Mytilus edulis: one gene and its partner. The protein of the gene in region 2 purifies or fractionates together with the protein of the main gene of each other region. This does not show direct contact. Links are inferred from orthologs where the notes say so. Each region holds a gene or a part of one and is shown on either strand. Other genes may lie near its edges.

What was found.
Region 1: the proteins of translation initiation factor eIF2 assembly protein-like (region 2) and eukaryotic translation initiation factor 2 subunit 2-like purify together in Homo sapiens (affinity purification with mass spectrometry; 4 studies listed by BioGRID and IntAct, counting the BioPlex papers as one, with this or other methods). This does not show direct contact. The link is inferred for Mytilus edulis from reciprocal best matches to the Homo sapiens genes CDC123 and EIF2S2.

Annotation. Positions count from the first base shown.
Region 1 is NC_092348.1:20,410,271-20,420,967, forward strand, and holds the start of eukaryotic translation initiation factor 2 subunit 2-like, read right to left. Parts: upstream 4,667-10,697; 5' UTR 4,519-4,666; coding exon 4,498-4,518; intron 3,958-4,497; coding exon 3,774-3,957; intron 2,991-3,773; coding exon 2,902-2,990; intron 1-2,901.
Region 2 is NC_092344.1:98,225,040-98,236,231, forward strand, and holds the start of translation initiation factor eIF2 assembly protein-like, read left to right. Parts: upstream 1-6,889; 5' UTR 6,890-7,097; coding exon 7,098-7,171; intron 7,172-11,192. UniProt on the Homo sapiens protein: ATP-dependent protein-folding chaperone for the eIF2 complex. Binds to the gamma subunit of the eIF2 complex which allows the subunit to assemble with the alpha and beta subunits.

The sequences.
Region 1 (10,697 bases), on a different chromosome or scaffold from region 2:
AAGATGTAAAAAAACTGCTTGTTATCACTGAATGGTAAAGATTATTTTAATTTATCAGTTGGTAGTAAAAAGTGAATATACATTGTATATTGTATATAACAAAGATTTAAGTTGATTCTGGACAAAGAAAGATAACTCCAATTAAAAATAAATCTTGCTATTGCACAATATTTTGCAATTAGATATTTCTTGCTTACTATTCTGGACAAAGAAAGATAACTCTAATTAATTTTTTTTTTGATATTTCACAATATTGTGCAATTAGATATTTCTTGCCATTGCGCAATACTGTGCAATTGAAAAGACTTGCTATTGCACAATACTTAATATAATAATTTTAGATCCTGATTTGGACCAACTTGAAAACTGGGCCCATAATAAAAAATCTAAGTACATTTTTGAATTCAGCATATCAAAGAACTTCAAGATTTCAATTTTTGTTAAAATCAGACAAAGTTTAATTTTGAACCCTTTGGACTTTAGTGTAGACCAATTTGAAAACAGGACCAAAAATGAAGAATCTACATACACAGTTAGATTTGGTATATCAAAGAACCCCATTTATTCAATTTTTGATGAAATCAAACAAAGTTTAATTTTGGACCCCGATTTGGACCAACTTGAAAACTGGGCCAATAATCAAGAATCTAAGTACATTTTTAGATTCAGCATATCAAAGAACCTAACTGATTCATTTTTTGTCAAAATCAAACTAAGTTTAATTTTGGACCCTTTGGACCTTAATGTAGACCAATTTGAAAACGGGACCAAAAGTTATGAATCTACATACACAGTCATGACAGTTAGATTCAGCATATCAAAGAACCCCAATTATTCAATTTTGATGAAATCAAACAAAAGTTTAATTTTGGACCCTTTGGGCCCCTTATTATGTTGGGACCAAAACTCCCAAAATCAAACCCAACCTTTCTTTTATGGTCATAAATCTTGTGTTTAAATTTCATAGATTTCTATTTACTTATACTAACGTTATGGTGCGAAAACCAAGAAAAATGCTTATTTGGGTCCCTTTTTGGCCCCTAATTCCTAAACTGTTGGGACCTAAACTCCCAAAATCAATACCAACCTTCCTTTTGTAGTCATTAACATTGTGTTTAAATTTCATTGATTTCTATTTACTTAAACTAATGTTATTGTGCGAAAACCAAGAATAATGCTTATTTGGGCCCTTTTTTGGCCCCTAATTCCTAAACTGTTGAGACCAAAACTCCCAAAATCAATACCAACCTTCCTTTTGTGGTCATAAACCTTGTGTCAAAATTTCATAGATTTCTATTAACTTAAACTAAAGTTATAGTGCGAAAACCAAGAAAATGCTTATTTGGGCCCTTTTTGGCCCCTAATTCCTAAAATGTTGGGACCAAAACTCCCAAAATCAATACCAACCTTCCTTTTGTGGTCATAAACCTTGTGTTAAAATTTCATAGATTTCCATTCACTTTTACTAAAGTTAGAGTGCGAAAACTAAAAGTATTCGGACGCCGGACGACGACGACGACGCCAACGTATTAGCAATATACGACGAAAATTTTTTCAAAATTTGCGGTCGTATAAAAAATTTGGAATTTGAGAAAAAAAATTGAAAACTACTACCATCCCCTTTTTTTTTAAATAGGTCCAAAACCTGACATTTCTTTATACATTGTTTACAAGTAGTGTAAGGGAGGTAAATCTGCACAAACCAAAAATTGTATGTTATCTGTTTATGATTTACCTCCATTACACTGCTTTTGAATTGTCTTAATTGTTCATTGACCAGAAAAACCTAGTTTCCCCCTTTTTTGGCCCCCAATTCCAAAACATTTTAAGAACCCCCCAAAGTCATTACTAACCATCAATTGTATGGAAACTTGTGGTAAAATTTCAGAGAGATTCATCCACTTAAACACAAGTTATTGTTTGAAAACTACAAAAATGCTTATTTTGGACCCCCTTTTTGGCCCCTAAATCCTAAACAATAAGGACCATAACCCCCAAAATCAATCCAAACCTTCCTTTAATTAGTGGTATTGAACCTTCTGGTAGAAATTAATAGAGATCCATTCAGTAAATCTAAAGTTGGTCTGGAAAATCTAGTTTATCCCATTTTTTGGGCCCCTAATTTCGCCTTTTTTAGCCCCTAATTCCAAAACATTTAGAGTCATAAGCCCCCAAAGTCATTAATTACCATCCTTTCATGGTATGGAAACCTGTGGAATTATTTCAGAGAGATTCATACACTTAAACACAAGTTATTGTTTTAAAACTACAAAAATGCTTATTTTGGGCCCCCTTTTTGGCCCCTTCTTCCTTAACTATTGGGACCATAACCCCCAAAATCAATCCCAACTTTCCTGTAGTGGTATTAAACCTTTTTATAGATATCCATACTCTTTATTTGTCAAAACATTTTACTTTAGTTTTAAAAATCACATTTTCCTTATACCGGATGTTGACCTGACTGGTAAAACATGGACTAGAAACAGATACGTAAAATCTGTGTACGTTTACAAAGCACGACTGAGTGAAGAAGCTCTTTCCGCATCATTTCTTCAACAAAATACTTGAAATGAACGTTAGATACAGATATCAATGATTATTGAAGCATTTTTGTAGAAATGTAGGATGCATAATTAAATTTCCCACCTGTACACATGCGCACACGTGTTCTAGTTCATACAACAGAGTGCCTAGAGAAAACCTCAGACTTTAAATAGAAAAACTGACAATACTAGTCAATTAAGATTGAAGTTGTGTGCACCCCCAGGAGCAGGGTATGAATTTACAACCTCAGTGTTGACTGGCTAGTGATTACAGTAGTAAGAACTACTTAGACCACTTGGCCGCTGAGGCCCCTAATTTAACATGGAAACCAGATCTAAACTTTATACTTTTACTTACAGGCAGAGCATCTCCAATGTCATCCAGTTCAAATGCTTTCTTTTTCTTTTTCTTCTTTTTCATCCCAAGGCTAAATTCTAATGACATATCTGAAAATATTCAAACAAATTCATTCTTCTACATCAAATTGCTGAATCTGTGTGAAACCATAATATAATCTGTGTGAAACCATAATATAATCTGTGTGAAACCATAATATAATCTGTCAAATAAACACTTTCTTTTCAATGTATTAAAAAAAAAGTTACAAATGTGCCAGCGTGAAGCATTTTAGAGAATTCATATACATACATGTACAAGGTGATGTCATTGTGTACCAGGGACATACACAGGCAACATTGTGCTTATTTGTTTATAGTGTGGCTATTATAACTAAGTTGAAAAATTTGAATTCATTATTGGAAAGTCAAATTATAGATTAACAAATGAGCTGTTTTGGATAGAAATTGTCCTTGTGCAAATGAATACAATGATCATGAGTCATCTCATTAAACTTTCACTCCTCACGATTCTCTGCGAAAGATGTCCTAAGACTCATAGTTTTTGAGAAAGAAGTCATACTCTAGGATTTAATTTCTGCAGAGTAGTGAAAAACCTAATTATTGTTCAGATAAAATATCAATATCAATGTAGCTTTGAGTGTTCATCTGTAAGTCTTCACTTATATGTCCTGTTTTATTCATCTGATCATATAAGCATGTCGAATATCAATGATATTTATTGGCTCATGCAGGATCTTCATACCCTTCTTGAGCACCTCAGATCACCCATGTAGTCAAGTTATGAACTCATCGTTTCTATTCACATACATTGTACACCATGTACACTTCACATATACATGTATTTCCAAATTATTTCCCATTATGTATTACCATCGTCTACTTTCTCCCTTTGATTTTCAGATTTGTTTTCCTTTGGTTCCTCTTGGATTTCAGTTGTTTCTGGGGTTGGTGCCCCATCTGTTGCTCCTTCTGGATCACCCATAGCTGCATCTAAATCAAATGGTACCTTCTTCTTCTTCTTTTTCTTTTTCATCATATTAGGATCAAAGGGGGTCTGTAAAGGTAAATTATATTAATTTATATAAACAAAGACAATTATTACACTCATATGTACGAAAGAAATGTACAAATGTATGACAATATTGGCTGACAATCCAGATACATACATGTAGACATGTCAACCTATTTGTTTAAATAATGAACATTTTTTTCCTTCAGATTAGACCAAATCCTACTCATTTACCTAAAATATTCAAATGACTTGAAATTTAAAAATCTTCCACAAATTTTTTTTAAGTTATCAATGAATCAAACAGAACAGGAATGTAAACTTAGTTTACATGAAAAAGTTATTGATCAGATGTTGCATCATCTAATTCCTGTCTCATTTTATAAAGTATGGTATTTCATCACAAAAATACCATTAAATAACCTTATTTCGAAACTATAAAGAAATCAAAACCTATGTTGAGGATTTTCCCATACATTTGTATATATTTTTTAGTTTTGATGCCATATTTTGCCTTTACAAAATTTGTATTGACACTTTGATAAACTGATTTTTTTTCAAAATTAACACATTTTAGGAACTTACCTTTTCTCTTTCATAAACCATAATTTAATTTCTGAACATCTAGAATAATAATGATTTTTTTATCCTTTTTTACTGATCCAATTGCATCAAAATATTCCTGTATAGAAGAGGCTTAGAGCTATATGTATTATATTTTTCCTTTGCTATTTTAAAGATAAATGTTTCAATTTATATTGCAGTCTTTATTTTATACTAAAACACGTCTGATGCAATATCGATTTGTATAATGTATATTTATAGCCTAGCAGATAATAATACAGGGAATATTATCTCATTATTTTTTTCTGAAAAGTAATACTAATTAGGTAGGTTGTTTATTACAAAAAGTTTTATGAATATATATACTTTTATAAGATGATTCAAGAAGGGTTAAAATACAAAGTACCTCACTAAAAATAAAAATCTTATGATCTAGACCAATGTCACTAGTCACTTAACTAAACCCAATCTTGACATCACAGCACTAACATTGATGTTATCAACAGACTGTATATTTCCATTCTATCAGGCATTGATGAGTTCTTCTTGCTTATTTAATTTGCATTTTGTACATTCACCATGTTAAAGTAGTTATGAAGAGTTTATATAAAACAATTGATTTTGTTTTTCGAAGTGGTTTAATGGAAGATACAAGTGCTCCCTCCGCACAACCTTATTAAATTCCACAGACCAAAACGACAAATCAGAGCAACAACCTTTGAATAACTTTATCACTAAGTACATTGTAGACCAACAAGTCTGTAACAACAAACGAATGGTCATACATTTTTGTAGTTCAAAATAGTAAATCGGACATGTTCAAAAACTATTTTTGTGCACAGTCGCTATTGATTGGAACCATCTGGAAGACATGGTAGTGTGTGTCACTACAACTTGAAGCTTAAATCAGAATTCCCCAGCAAGCGCAACTATCACACAATAGCCGAAAGGAATCTGCGACATATGGTCATACCCATCTATTCTGTGACATGCTATTTACCATGTTAACAGCAGTGGGAAATACAAATACAAGTCTGTGCCAACTTTATACTAAGTTTAGATATATGTATGAAACTGAAAGTGCTGTAGCCTGTAGGTAGTCTCTTTGTTTGAATGGTAACAATATTGAGTGATACAAATTTTTGTCTAGAAGACACTACTGTCTTAACCATAACTGAATTAAATTATGTCAAAAGGAGAACTGTGGACAGTATTGGGTTCATTGGAAACATCACCATGGTAAAACATAATAACAATAAAGGTGATTGTGGTTCAGGTGAGAACACGATACGTCAACAGCACCGAACCAACCCAGATACGAGATAATTTCGTGAGATTCTGTTTTTATGCTAGCCAATCTTCAGCAATATTTAATGATTTGCATTAACAACCATGAATTGAAGAAAAAAATATATGCAAACGTGTGACTTTATCATAACTAATATGCTGATTTCGAATAATTTACTACACGTGTGATCGAGGATGGAAGTCGCCATATTTTTCTCATATTCCCGGCTCAAAAAAAGTCATTTTATCATTTATTTTTCAATCCTCTTACCAGCTCGTCGTCCTCCATTCTTGAAATTAAAGATCAACAATAAAGTTGATGATTTTATCACAGATAAATGAAATAGCAGCTCGAGTTTCCTTGATTTTTCAGTTTTTCATCGTTCAAATTATTGCATCAGTCTGATAATACTAGAGGTCAAGGACACTGAAAACTTCGTAAGGGAGATAATCCAGAAAAAAAACCAAGAGGCCCAGTGTCGTAACAAGTGCTTTGTCGGTATCAAAAATGATCCCCGGGTAATGATCATAAATCAATGTCACCTTTTTGTTAAGATAAGATCAATTTTATTAACAAATTTTGGGTCCCGAAGGTCATAAAGATTATAATAAAAAAAAAATCCATTAAATGACAGAATAAATATCAAAGACCATCAAATAACAGACAAAAATATACAATATATTCTTCTTCTTCTTCTTCCATATAAGAGTTGGGTTCCTTTAATGAAACGTTTAAACTCTGCGGGACTACGCATGGTGACATCACATATCTAGTCCCCTAAGGCTATATACAGTATTTACAATAAAATCAGGTTGTTACGGTTAAAATTATGTCAGTACAATCGTCCAGTCTGGTATTAATGTGTTGTCTGTAGCCCTGAGCGAAAATCTTCAACTGATCCCGCTTCAGCAACCCTGGCAGGTAATGTATTCCATTCCATGATTGTTCTTGGAAAGAAGGAGTTCCTGTAGACATCACTGGTGACCCTCTGTTGGTAAAACTTGTGTCCTCCACGAGTTCTACTGTCGCCACCTTTGAGGTAAGTACTCTTGTTGATGTCTATCAGCTCATTCTGGATACGATAGAGCATGCATAGCCTGTTGTCACGGCGTCTTGTCTGTAATGTGTCCCATTTAAGATCTTCTAACATTGTAGTGACGCACCCTGGTGTGCGTGATGTGTAGTCATTATAGACAAATCTAGCAGCTCTCCTCTGTATAAGTTCTAGTGTGTTGATGCTTGCTTGGTTGGTTGGGTCCCATATAGTAGAAGCATACTCTATGACAGGTCGCACGAGTGTTGTATAGCCAGCAGCCTTTACTTTCCTGGTACATTCTTTAAGGTTTCGTTTGACAAACCCAAGTGTTCGGTTACCCTTTGCTGTAACACTCTGGATATGTTTGTTCCATGAGAGGTTGTTTGATATTGAAACTCCCAAGTACTTGGCACTATCTACTGGTTCGAGTATGTGTCCATGTAGAGTGTATGGGTATTGTATAGGTTCTTTGTTCTTTGGTGGTATGCGGATAATATTGCATTTTGTTGGATTGAATCTCATCATCCATGTTTTTTCCCAATTTTCTAATGCTTCAAGGTCTTTCTGAAGTTGTTCTGTATCTTTGGTGTTACTAATTTCCCTGTATAGTAGACTGTCATCAGCAAAGAGGCGGACATCTGATTGAGTATATCCGGGCATGTCATTGATGTATGTTAGGAACAATAAAGGACCTAGTACTGTGCCTTGTGGCACACCTGACAGAACATCGTCTTGTTGAGATCTAGCACCTTCCAATACTACCTGTTGTTTCCTGTTTGATAGGAATGAACTGATCCAGGAGTTTGTCCGGCCCCTTACTCCATAAAATTGGAGTTTGTACAGCAGTCTTGAATGAGGAACCTTGTCAAATGCCTTTTCAAAATCCAGGAGTATGATGTCAATCTGGGTTCCATTTGAAAGGTATTTGGCTATACGATCGATGGTGATGATGAGCTGACTTTCACATGATCTGCGTTTCCTGAAACCATGTTGGTTGTCACAGAGTATATTTTGTTGATCAAAATGTTTCATTATGCTGCTGTGAACTATATGCTCTAACAGCTTACAAGTGATGGAGGTAAGGGAGACTGGACGATAGTTGGCCGCTAGGTGAGTATCCCCTTTCTTGTATAGTGGCACTATGTTGGCATCTCTCCAATCTTGTGGAACTTCTCCTGTATCAAGTGAAAACTGAAAGATTCTTGTCAGAATTGGTGATAATTCTGCAGCAGTTATTTGCAGTATTTTGGTTGGTATTTCATCTGGTCCTGCTGCTTTGTTGGTGTTAAGGTTTTTTAACAGTTTGAATACCCCATTTTCAGTTACTGTGATGTCATTCATTGTATTGATGTTACTAGGACCTTTATCGGGAATAGTGCTGCCATCTTCTTTTGTGAAAACCGAGCAAAACTGTTCATTTAAGATATTGGCTTTACTCTGGCTGTCGCTTTTAAGGAATCCTTCCTTGTTTTTGAGTGGTGCAACTCCAACCGAGTCCTGTCCTTTGCTCTTCAAGAATGACCAAAATCTTTTCGGTTTCTCAGTGTAACTGAGACTAATGATGTCATTCATATATTCTTTGTATGCTTTTCTTATTTCCATTTGTGTTTGTTGTTGGAGGTATTTATATCTATCTCTGTCTCTCCTTTTCTTTGTTTTCCTTGATTTCTTGTGGGCCTTGTTTTTCCTTCTTATTAGGCGCTTGATGGTGGTATTGATCCAAGGATGGGTAAATTTTGTAGTTGTCATCTTTGTTGGTACTTTCTGATCAATAATTTTCATGATGTTTTCTTTGAAATATTTCCACATGTTTTCAATATTAGTGAAGGTCGTCTGGTTAAAGGTTTCAGCAAATAACCTCACCTCATTTTGTATTTCATCTATGTTGGTTCTTTTCCATAGTTGTATTTTACGTTTAACCGGTTTAGGTTTTTGTGTTTTAATTGAGGTATCAAGAAGGACAATGTCGTGGTCGCTGTTACCAATAGCTGGAATTGGTTTACATCTCTGCTTAAAACTTGGATGGCTAGTCAAAATTAAATCTAGAGTTTTTTCTTTTCTTGTAGGGAAGTCTACTATTTGTTCAAGATTAATGTCTGCTACTATGTCCAAGAAGGTTTGGTTCACTTTGGATGGATATTGCTTACCATTTATGGCTAACTGTTCCCAATTGATGTCTGGAATGTTAAAGTCACCACCAATAATAAGGATGTTCTTTTTGGTGCTATTTTTAAGGCGGTTGAATTCATCTTGTGTATATTCTAGGTACTCGTTGTCTGTTCTATTTGGAGGTCTATAGTATGATGCCAATGTGATTTTCTTTGAGTTCGTTGTTATTACTCCACTGATCATTTCAATATTTTTACTTTTATATACATTATGTAATTGTAGATGTTTTTTGGCTGCTATGAGAACACCCCCATGTCGATCAGTTGGTCTATCTCTGCGTTGGATATTATAATCAAGGTCATTTGATAGTATTTCGCTTGATGATATGGTGTCGTCGAGCCAAGTTTCTGTTCCCAGTATGATATCGGGATCTGTATCTATTATGAGAAGCTCTAATAGCTTTCCTTTCTTCCTCAGACTTTGAAAATTAATATTCAAGATTCGTAAGCACTTTGTGTTGTTTGCTCTGTTAAAAGTTTTTGATTTGGGTTTAATAGGTGAAGATGTAGTGATCCCATATTGTATCAGAAGTCCATTTAATTTGTTAAAAATGTGTCTATATCTTCGCTTATCATTAACCACAGAAAGCTTTCTTTTGTATAAAGTGCACACTCAATTCTTATTAGACATCAACATTTCAATGGAAAATAATTGTTTATCGCTGTTCATAGATATAGGAAGATGTGGTGTGAGTGCCAATGAGACAACTCTCCATACAAATAACAATTTAAAAAGTAAACCATTATAGGTTAAAGTACGGCCTTCAACACGGAGCCTTGGCTCACACCGAACAACAAGCTATAAAGGGCCCCAAAATTACTAGTGTAAAACCATTCAAACGGTATATTATCATATGTGAGATTCAGTATATTTCAAATATACCTTCGACCCATATGGGTAAAAATGTGCATTTATATATTCAAGTATATAAAGTATATAATAAAATTGAGAATGGAAATGAAGAATGTGTCAAAGAGACAACAACGTACCCGACCATACAACACACAACAACAAAAGGTCACCAATAGGTCTTCAATACTGAGGAGTTCCCGTACCCGGAGGCGTCCTTCAGCTGGACCCTAAAAAAATATATATATACTAGTTCAGTGATAATGAATTTTTACGCCATACTAAACTCCAAATTATACACAAGAAACTAAAGTTAAAAATAATACAAGACTAAATTAAGGCAAAGACCAGAGTATCCTGACTTGGGACAGGCGCAAAAATACGGCGGGGTTATAAACATCATGTTTATGAGCCTGTTTATAAGAAACATTACAATCTAGTCTACACGTACAAGTATTATATAAATATCAATTTCCAATAATTTTATTTTTAAGTTATGATTTTTAGTTAACATTTAACCCCGCCGCATTTTTGCGCCTGTCCCAAGTCAGGACGGCCTCTGGCCTTTGTTAGTCTTGTATTATTTTAATTTTAGTTTCTTGTGTACAATTTGGAAATTAATATGGCGTTCATTATCACTGAACTAGTATATTTGTTTAGGGGCCAGTTGAAGGACGCCTCCGGGTGCGGGAATTTCTCGCTACATTGAAGACCTGTTGGTGACCTTCTGCTGTTGTTTTTTTCTATGGTCGGGTTGTTGTCTCTTTGGCACATTCCCCATTTCCATTCTCAATTTTATTATGTACATCATTTTAGTACGACGGTAACTTTTTATGTCTAGTGCTATATCTGATCATATCTACATGTTATTTTAATGTA
Region 2 (11,192 bases):
GCACTCAAAACATTATTTTTACGGTGGCTTATTAGTTTTTATTCACTTTTGTCAATAAGCTTTTCAAAAACAAACAAGACAAATCATATGTTTTTGCGTGTAGACGGGTAACATTCTTATATTGTTTTTGAGGGTTCCTCCAAATTTCGGATACCCATAAGTAAATAAAATATAAAAATTGTATACCATTTGGAAGAGGAACGTTATGGCTTTGTGATGTCATATTTGTATGACGTAATCGACACCATTTTCGAATCGAGTAGACCTTGGAAGAATCCATTTCAGCTTGTAGACACTAAAGGAAAAATATAAGCCCTTTGCGGCATAACAGATGAGAATCCATCGATAGCGAGATTGTTTGTCATTAAAGTCTTTATATCAATTATCATTATGTAAAACGAACTTGGAAAATGCTTTAAAAACATTGATTCCCAATTTAAAAGAACGAATTCAATTAGAACTTCGACATCATAATCAAAATCAAAGCCCCGAAAAACACTGTCACAACAACGTTTAAAAAAAACATGCTCTACTTGAAATTATCAATACAGAGTAAAAATATGTAAAGCATGGTATCTAGTCCGAAAATACTATATGTCCGTTAAACTGGAACATCTGAACTGCATCTATTCATATAGCAATCTCTTTTTTTAGCATTACATAAAATCTAATTATGTATATGAGTCCCCACAGGGCTCCCGTCACAAAACTTTTAACTAACGTTTAACGTTAGTAATTTCGATGTTTTTTAAAGAAAACGAAGAAAAAAAAGGGATTGTGCATTTCAGAACGGAGAAATGAAGCCAATATGATAAATTCCTAATAAAAAAGAAACGGTAGCATGCATTCGTTTAAATTTTTGTCAATTTATTTCGATTACTGATGCGTTGAAAGGGTGTCTACCAAAATGTCACAAAAATGGCATCTTCATTTTTTTCTAAAATACAAAAAAACAAGTTGTTACAAATCTTTAGAAATAAGTGAAAACTGTATAATTAATAAGAAAATTTAAGCGATAATCGGAAATTCTCAAACCGAAGGAACATTTCAATATAAATAGGATAAAGATTAAATATGTACAAATTATCAAAATACATTGGTCACATGGTGGTCTACCAAAATGTCACAGCGTCGCTTATTTGACGTTTTTGACGTTCACCGTGTTGTTTTTTTTTGCGTTATGGCGGTTTTTGAAGCGTATTTATTTTGTTATAAAAACATCTAAAACTTAATTCAGAATATACTTTTTCTTTCAAATGTTTTTTCTTTCGTGTCATTTTTTGTGAAGCTAATGAATCAGAAACCCAACAACAACAAAATTCTACATGTATATACAAAATTAATAGCTTCAGTGGAGAACATAATTATCGCCTCAAGTACAACTAGCATATCATACATAATGGATATTCGTATTACTTAAAGTATTGAAATACATATATGTATACGAATACGGACACACTGACACATATCGATATGTAAACAATCAAATACGGAGATATGTTATACGTACAGCTAATTGGATGTTAATATTTCCAAACATAGGTTGAAATTTTTCCGTTTTATGAGTAATATTTTAAAAGTATATATGTATCAAATAAAAATCATCGATACTGTATGTTGCCTTACATAGATATTGATGAAGAAAGTTTTGACATTAAATCAACATGTTGGATATTCAGGTTGGCATGTCAAATATTCAACTCAACATGTCTGATATTTTCAAGTTGACTTGTTAGATAATTATACTGACTTGTCAGATGTTAGGTCGACGTGTTAGATATTGAAGTCGATATAGTAGATAATTGTGTCACCATACCAAACAATGTGACTTAAATACAACAAAAACCGCAACCCAAGCTCTTTAACGCCATATACTTAAGAGTAGAACAAAAACATACTACTAGAAATAATCTGTATATTGTCAAAATATATAAATAAGGAGATGTGGTGTGGTTGCCAATGAGACATTTATCCACTAGTAAGACTTAAGTTCTAATGACGAATACAAATGCAATTATAGGTCATTGCATTTGTACCCAAGTAGAATCTGTAGCCGAATTTTGATATAAACAAATAATTAGGAACTATTTTAAAAGTTGTAATAGAAAGGTCCACAGTATGCCACTGGTGGACTTTTGAAAAATCAAGCAGATATTGCCGTTATACGCGGGCAATTTCGGATACGTCCGGCTGTAGAATTGTTAACGATTAACAACACCACTGTCATATGCGTGCAATCGAAGAATTTTTAAATATGTAGAAGAAATTCCTAGAAATAGAAAATCGTTTAAACCAATAAAGGGGATACGGACCATACATCGAGTAGAAACAAAAAATCTACAAACGGTACTAGTTCGAACCGTGTCATGCTATTGTGGCGGGTGCCTTGAGCATGACCATTGTTTGTTTACTGATCTAGTTGGCATTTCGTTGGAAGTCAAAGTAGAGCGAGAGCTAGGATTCCAATTCAGGGGAGGAGACATTAGAAGATGACAGATATGAGACATTCGTTAATATGATAAATACCGGTCAATTTTTTGCAATTTATGTGATGATGAGGAAAATTGTCTCTTCCTCCTTAAAGCTACATCGGGGAGTCATAATTATGTTAACAGGAGAAGAAACTAATGAGTGGGGGTCGACATTTTCTGATGGAACATCTGTAATTAATGGACATTATTTCATAAAGAAAAACACATCACGTTTTACAGTACAGTCTTTTTTAAAATCAAAAGACAATTGTCTCAAGCGCTTCCGTGTTGTATGTATGTCAAGACAATGTTTTGAAAAGAAATAAGCTCATTTTTGGTTGCACTTTGTAAATATAGCTGTTTCTCAAACCACGCCTCTTTTGGGGAGATCTTGAATATTCATAGAAAATTAATTTTGTTTACATACTGGTTCCCAGTTATGCTCTCTGTGTTCCATCTCACAGAGACATAACTTGGGAATGTTACCAGTAAATATACACATGCATTGATTTTCATTTGAAATTTTTATTGTGTCACGGCTTAATAATGTGTCACGACACAGGATGAGAGCACTATAGAACTTTCTCAATATTGTATCAATATTGTCCGAAGCAATAATATCTATTACATTGAAGAATTTTTTTATTATTTTTTTATTTCTCCAATTGATATTAAAAGAAGTGATTTAGAAATGTATGACGCGTTACTTATCTTTTCTCTCGCGTTTGATAGCTCTTGCATTAAACAATGAGTATTTTGTTTGTGATATTTAGAGAAATGCAAAATTTAAAGAATTACAAATTAAAGAGCAGACAGCAGCCGAAGGCCACCAATTCAGCGAGAATATCCTGCACCCGGAGGCGCGCCTTTTATAACCATCCAATTCCCCAAAAAATCAAACTTGACAATCAAATATTGTTATCGTAGAATTTTGACAGACTTTAAAATCTTACAATCATTGAAAATACGCAAAAGTTAATTTGTTAAAGGTTGATATAAAAAGATTATACTCCCTACAGCCATATTTAAAGTTTAAAACAAAAAGAACAAGTATAAAAAAAATCTAAAAATTGGAAGGGTTTCTCCTCTTCAGTGCGATTTTCATAATAAAAAAAATCTTGTTTTTTCGACCGGTAAATATTATTTTAAAACAAATTGTGCATGAATGCATACGCGTGGACTTGAATGTAGCGTAAATCCCACAATTTCTGTTTTCACAAAACACCATACGTATTCCTTATATATATTTCCATTTGTCTAGAGGTCCCCTGGCATACACCCGTATCTCCTTTTATTAACAGAAAACCAAGCGTTAAACTTGTGGTTAAGTTGTTAAATATAATGGACGTCAATATTACAAAACGTCAATCATATAACATGATTTTGACGTTACGACGTTACCAAAAGTGACACCAACATCGAGCGTAACGTCCATGTATTGCTATACCGTTATTGATACATACTGTCGGTCTTCATATTTTGGCACCACACAAGGTCGTGTTTTCAGACTATTAAGACATCCGAGATTGATTGATTTCATATGTTTAACACTATCTCAGCACTTCTGGCTATATCATGGCGGCCACGTTGTATTGGTGGAAGAAATCGGAGGGAACCACCTGAACTAGCAACCATAGGCAATTGAAAAACATGGAGTCGAGGGCACCCACCATGTGCAGGGTTCGAACTAAATGCAAGAATGATGATTTTTTTTCTCATAAACTAGTACATGGCTAAAGTAAAAAACAATAAAGTACGTAAATTGTGAATTAATTCATTGCTGTTCAGGAAATTTTGACACTAAATCTTTCGGATGTATACTGAATGATATTTTGTTTTTGGTACATGATGGTTTATTAGCTGCTGTTGTGTTTAATCGATGATTAGGTATACAAGATACTTAAAATGCAACATGCTTGTGTACTGTCGGTCATTTGATGCAAAAAAAAAATCAAAATAATAATTCCAAAATTCCATGAACACACACACTCTCACAAAAAAATTTCATTGCATGTGACCCCTCAGGTAATCCGTAGTTCGATTAGGAAATATTTTCATTGATAGCATTTTGTTGTGAAATAATGTTTTGACAAGTTTCATGGAGATTTTTTTGTTTTAAAATATTTCATTGAATGGTGGCTTATTTCATGTTACAGATGTAATTTTTAATTTTTCCAGTCAAATATTGATGGATTTCCAGGAAGAAAAATCTAGAAAATCAGCAGAAATGGCATACAATGTATTTGTTAAATTTATACGCTGGAACTATATATGTCATCAGAGACATTTAATACATTATCATTGCATAATACATGTGAAACGGCATAATGTGTCTTACTCAATGTTCAACAAATGTTATGAAACTTATGTAAAATGCTATTTACCACAAAACATTGTTTTGTGGTAAATAGCATTTTACATAAGTTTCTTACATAGATCAATTTTGAATTTGGAGTGCGTCCCTTTTAGTGTTCCAGAGTTGTGCCCCTTTGCAAATGAAAAAAAAAAAAGCTGAAATTTAAGTTACCGTTCTCTTACCTGATTTATGTTAATGTTATGAAACCTTTAAACCGTTCCTGCTCTTTACCACAAAACTCAGATCAAGTCAAATTTGGGTAGTGTCACTATTACAGTTCTTGAGTTATGTCCCTTTGAAACTGCGTTAATTATATACAAGCAGGGCCCTGGGCATCATCTGTGTCCCATGAACACATTCCCCATCTATTTAAAATGATATTGTATTCACATAGAAGTTATTTCAAAGTTAAGATGTTGAAAGAAAATCGTTTTAATAATGTGACGTTGCATATGCATAAAATGTATTTATAGAATGTTAATATTTTATACACGAAGCACTCATAGTGACGCAACGTCAGATATTGCTACCATTTTTAAATTTTTAAAGTGTAATAGAAAAATAACGTTGATTAGAAACGCGCACTATCAAGTCAGTGGCGGATCCAGAAATTTTCATAAGTTGGGGCCCGCTGACTGACCTAAGAGGGGGCCCGCTCCAGTCACGCTTCAATGATTCACTATATAAGCAATCAATTTGTTTTTCACAAAAAGGGGGGCCGGGCCCTGGCCCCCCCTAAATCCGCCTCTGCAAGTGTTTCCTGCTTTCCTTGTTGGGTAAATGCAAAGTATAGCATACAAGTAGAAATACCGAGATATTCCATTCCAATATTACTTTATAATTTACATAGGATATTACATTGTACTTCTAGTAATAATGTGTTTTTCGGGGAATATCGCTGCATTATATAAACAACCCGAATATGATTTTATTTAAGCAGTGGAACAAGAGACAATTAAATGGCTTATAGTTATGACACTGAAGTTTTTAAAACTTTTTGATCGTCTTATAGATGTGTATTTTTGTAATATGTGCATCATTTCGTTTTGTTGAAAGTAGGACATTTACATTAAGTGGAGGGAGGAACCTGCGAATGCAATACATGCCGTCCCATATTACGCTTGTGGCGACGTCAAATAATGTTAACGGACAACCTTGCAAGATATTTTCATTAATCCTTAATTTTTATAGGTAACCCTGTAATCTTAATACAATTTGGTGTAACAATTTCAACTTTTAAAGTACTTTTTATAGGTATAGTAATCAAAGCCGAAAAATAATCTTCATGAAATAAAATCTCTGTTTTTTTTTTGCAGTAAAAGTTTTCAGAATATTTATGCTAATTCTATATTGAGACGGCCATGTAAACCAGTACTGAAATATATCACGTCATAGAACATTCATGCAAAATTTCAAAGAGTTGCGTGAACATTTCGCGAATTGTTCGAGATTAATGTTTCAAGTTTGTTACATGGGACAACGCCAAGTGAACGTTTTTTTCTGATAATCTGTGTCTTCCGAAGCCTATGAATATTATATTTTTATTCTTTCTCTATCATAATGTGAAAATTTAAGAAGCAATCTTTATTTTCATATATAATTTCAAATATTCATTTCAGCATTTCTAAGAAAATTTTCTTATCAAATATTTACTTAGCGCTATTTTTCGTGGTAGAAGCAATATCTAACGTTGCGTCAGTACATTGGTCAATATATAGATTTGTTACTTGCAATGTCTAGCTAAATAAAATCTATGAACGGTCGGCACTGCCTTAAAGTAGTGTCTCCACCATGACAGTCTTGAACATTAAAAACTCAATATTAAATAATATACTGCTATTTTCAGTGTTTGGTGAAGGTTGGCTGTCACTGTGCAAAACAGTTTAACATACATAGAACCCTATGGGGGAAAACCAGAGAACTCTCTTTTTTGTCAGAAAAAGATCTGTCAAACAGCCGTACATACTATCCACACTAATCTGTATCCACACTTATTTAATGAGCAAAAACTTATTTTCCGGGTTTCCGTGCTTATTCCGTCATTTGACTAAATTTAGAAGCACCACCAATCGGAACACCTCTGTTATTTACATTAGGAACATGATGCAATAACAACAAACTAAAATGTGTTTAAAGAATTCAACTATCTTGCATCATTTTATGGTGTATAAGTTATTTATTTGTTGAGAATTTCTGCAGTACAGAACACTTTATAAATTTCTTTTCTTAATAGTATACTGAAATTATTTTGTATTTAATCCAAAACAGTCATGAAAGTTGATGAAGTTTTACAGTGTAGTTTTCCCTCTTGGTATAATAAATTTAAGGATATAACAATAAAGAGGTAAATATAAATTGTGGGAATATGAACACATGCTTTTGAACACTTAATAAAAGTACAAGATTGATATTTCAAGATACAGATTATGTATTTTAGGTACCCAGATATACATGCACAACTGATCATCTGATCTGATCATCAGTTAGTCCGAGCTTGTCTGGCAGAAAGTCACAGGACATAAAGTCACAAATTTGATAGGACAAAAAGTCACAAATATTTTTTTGACAATTGTTCAAATATATTTTGAAATATTTTCTTTTAATTACATATAATCATTTTTAAATAATAAGAAAATAGCTCATAAACCTTGATAAATGAAAATTTATTAAATTTTAATCATGCAAAGGATATTTTTATTGGCAAAATGAAGCGATTTAGGTACCAAGTCACTTTGACATTTTGTTTTCATAACAATTACTTGATCGTTTTTTATATTTATTGAGAAGATTTTTATTACAAAGTTGCTTGAAACATAAAACTTCAAGAAAAATACAAAAAAAATATTTTCAAAATAAATGTTTTCTTGTTCAAACAAAAATAATCTCAAAACTGAATTGTGACTTTTTGTCCTGTGACTTTTTGATCGTGACTTTTTGTCCTGTGACTTTCTGTCCTACATTCTAGCAAAACAGCCATTGGACGTCAGAGTAATCTTGGACTAATCATCAGTCTGATCTATATTTGGAAATCTGTGCAGGTTGACCTAAGAATCTACATCGGCTGAACTATTTACGTCATACAACAATCACTTTTCAGTTGTGGTGTCAGTTGTTTTCTTTTGTGACAACATAGAATAGAATATTTTTATTTCCCAAATTACAGGGCCAATAAAGGGCATAAAATCAGATACAACTGATTTACATAATTGGTAAAAACAACAATAATAGCGGCATATACATATATATTTAGAGTATAAGCATTGGTCAGAATCAGAGCCAAAAACAACATATATATATTGTGAATAAAAGAATAAAATTACATTACATGCATTTATTTCAAATTATTTACTTGACTAAGTGTCAGTGTTCAGAATCCGGGTCTGTTCGCGCCTAATCACATTCGCTACCATTAACGTTCGCGCCCTTTCACTTTCGCACCCTACACGTTCGCACCCAAACTCCATTCACACCCCACACGTTCGCGCACAATTTTCATTGGTATTATTTATATAATTTGGAATCGAGTTTTGGTAAGTGTATTGCTATATATATATATAAATTTTTTTTTCTCCATTTTCTCTACATATATATACATGTAGTTAGATTCTGACTGTTATATGTCAGTTTGGTATGGTCAAGTCGTTTGGTAAAGTTAACATACTTTTATGAGAGTTATCTCTCCTTAACCAGTCATTGGTGTATTGATATGCGGATTGCATTCCGTATTTGTATTATATGTTAGTTTATCTTGTTCTCTTGATTTATTGTTACCATACCATGTGGATATGTTTTTGAAGAATAGAACATTATTAACTTGAACTTTAGTTTAATTACTTATGCCAGAGTAAAGCATAAAATGACAACGTTTTTTAATGTGTTGAATAAATCTTAATGATGTTTAGGCAAGTGTACTGCTCTATATAAATATATTTTTTTCATTGTTTCTAAATAAAGTGAGATCTTAATCATGTTTAGGCAAGTGTACTGCTCTATATATAAATATATTTTTTTCATAGTTTCTAAATCAAGTGAGATTCTGACGTTTTTTTATGTGTTGATAAAATCTATATCAGGTTTTGGTAAGTGAATTGCTATAAATAATTTTTTACATGAGTTCAAAGCAGCCAAGCTGTTAAAAACAATTATCTTTCAAGTTTTTGATTTAAAATCTTCAAAGTTTTACTCATACCAAGCTAAATACATGCAGTATTTACATCAAAGCAATTTGCAAGTTAAAACAACAATCATGATTTTTAAACACTCAACAATAACACCAAATGTAGCTGTGTATAATTTACCAATTAGCAGTAATCATACATAATTAACATTTAATAATTAATCATCAAATTAATAAACAAAATCTACATTATAATTCCTCAAAACCTGTAGGGAGCGAACAGACTTCAGGGGCGAACATGTGAGGCGCGAAAGTGTAGGGTGCAAAAGTGTATTGGGCGCGAAAGGACCTGATACCAAGTGTTCATACCTGATCTCCTTAATTCAAAACAGTCACAAATATAACAGCCCAGTTTTTCCATAAGAGTTTCATTTTCTTGCTTCAAGAGCCATAAAAATTTAGAAGATTTATTTAAATTTATAAAATTATAACAATTCATTATTGTTAGAAATGCCTTGAAAAAAATCTTCCTTTTGAATATCATAAAGAGGGCATGCTAATAAAAAATGAAGCATATCTTCAACTTTACCAAATGAGCAATTAGACAAAGACGCTCAGTTCTTTTTATTTATTTTTTTAATATCTGTTTATCTCAATTTTTAAAGAGTGAGCGCTTATTCTTAATTTACAAATTGACTGTCTTTTTTTGAAATCCTGTAGTTCACATTTTCAGGGGAACCTTTGTGATGTCCATATAGCGATATGGTGTATTAAACTCACAAATTCAAAAAGAACCTGAGAATTGATAAACATTAGAATTACCTAGGGAATATTGGCCACATGTATTTGGGGAAAAAAAGAAATTGAAAATCTCATAAAATCAATCATATGATGAGTTTAAATGTGCATAGTTCCTTGTGTAACCTCTCTGTACAGTGCTATTGTGATATACTTTTTAGCTCACCTGTCCCGAAGGGACAAGTGAGCTTATGCCATCACTTGGCGTCCGTGGTCGTCCGTCGTCTGTCGTCGTAAACTATTTCAAGAATCTTCTCCTCTCTGAAACTACTGGGCCAAATACTTCCAAACTTTAACTGAATGTTCCTTAGGGTATCTTATTTATAAATTGTATCCGAAGTTTTGATCTATCAACAAACATGGTCGCCATTGCTAAAAATAGAACATAGGGGTCAAATGCAGTTTTTGGCTTATAACTCAAAAACCAAAGCATTTAGAGCAAATCTGACATGGGGTAATATTGTTTATCAGGTCAAGATCTATCTGCCCTGAAATTTTCAGATAATCAGACAACCCGTTGTTGGGTTGCTGCCCCTGAATTGGTAATTTTAAGGAAATTTTGCTGTTTTTGGTTATTATCTTGAATATTATTATAGATAGAGATAAACTGTAAATAGCAATAATGTTCAGCAAAGTAAGATTTACAAATAAGTCAACATGACGGAAATGGTCAGTTGACCCCTTTAGGAGTTATTGCCCTTTATAGTCAATTTTTAACCATTTTTCGTAAATCTTAGTAATCTTTTACAAAAATCTTCACCTCTGAAACTACTGGGCCAAATACTTCCAAACTTTAACTGAATGTTCCTTAGGGTATCTAGTTTGTAAATTGTATCAGAAGTTGTGATCTATCAACAAACATGGTCGCCATTGCTAAAAATAGAACATAGGGGTCAAATGCAGTTTTTGGCTTATAACTCAAAAACCAAAGCATTTAGAGCAAATCTGACATGGATAATATTGTTTATCAGGTCAAGATCTATCTGCCCTGTAATTTTCAGATGAATCAGACAACCCGTTGTTGGGTTACTGCCCCTGAATTGGTAATTTTAAAGAAATTTTGCTGTTTTTGGTTATTATCTTGAATATTATTATAGATAGAGATAAACTGTAAACAGCAATAATGTTCAGCAAAGTAAGATTTACAAATAAGTCAACATGACGAAAATGGTCAGTTGACCCCTTTAGGAGTTATAGCCCTTTATAGTCAATTTTTAACCATTTTTCGTAAATCTTAGTAATCTTTTACAAAAATCTTCTCCTCTGAAACTACTGGGCCAAATACTTCCAAACTTTAACTGAATGTTCCTTAGGGTATCTAGTTTGTAAATTGTATCTGAAGTTATGATCTATCAACAAACATGGTCGCCATTGCTAAAAATAGAACATAAGGGTCAAATGCAGTTTTTGGCTTATAACTCAAAAACCAAAGCATTTAGAGCAAATCTGA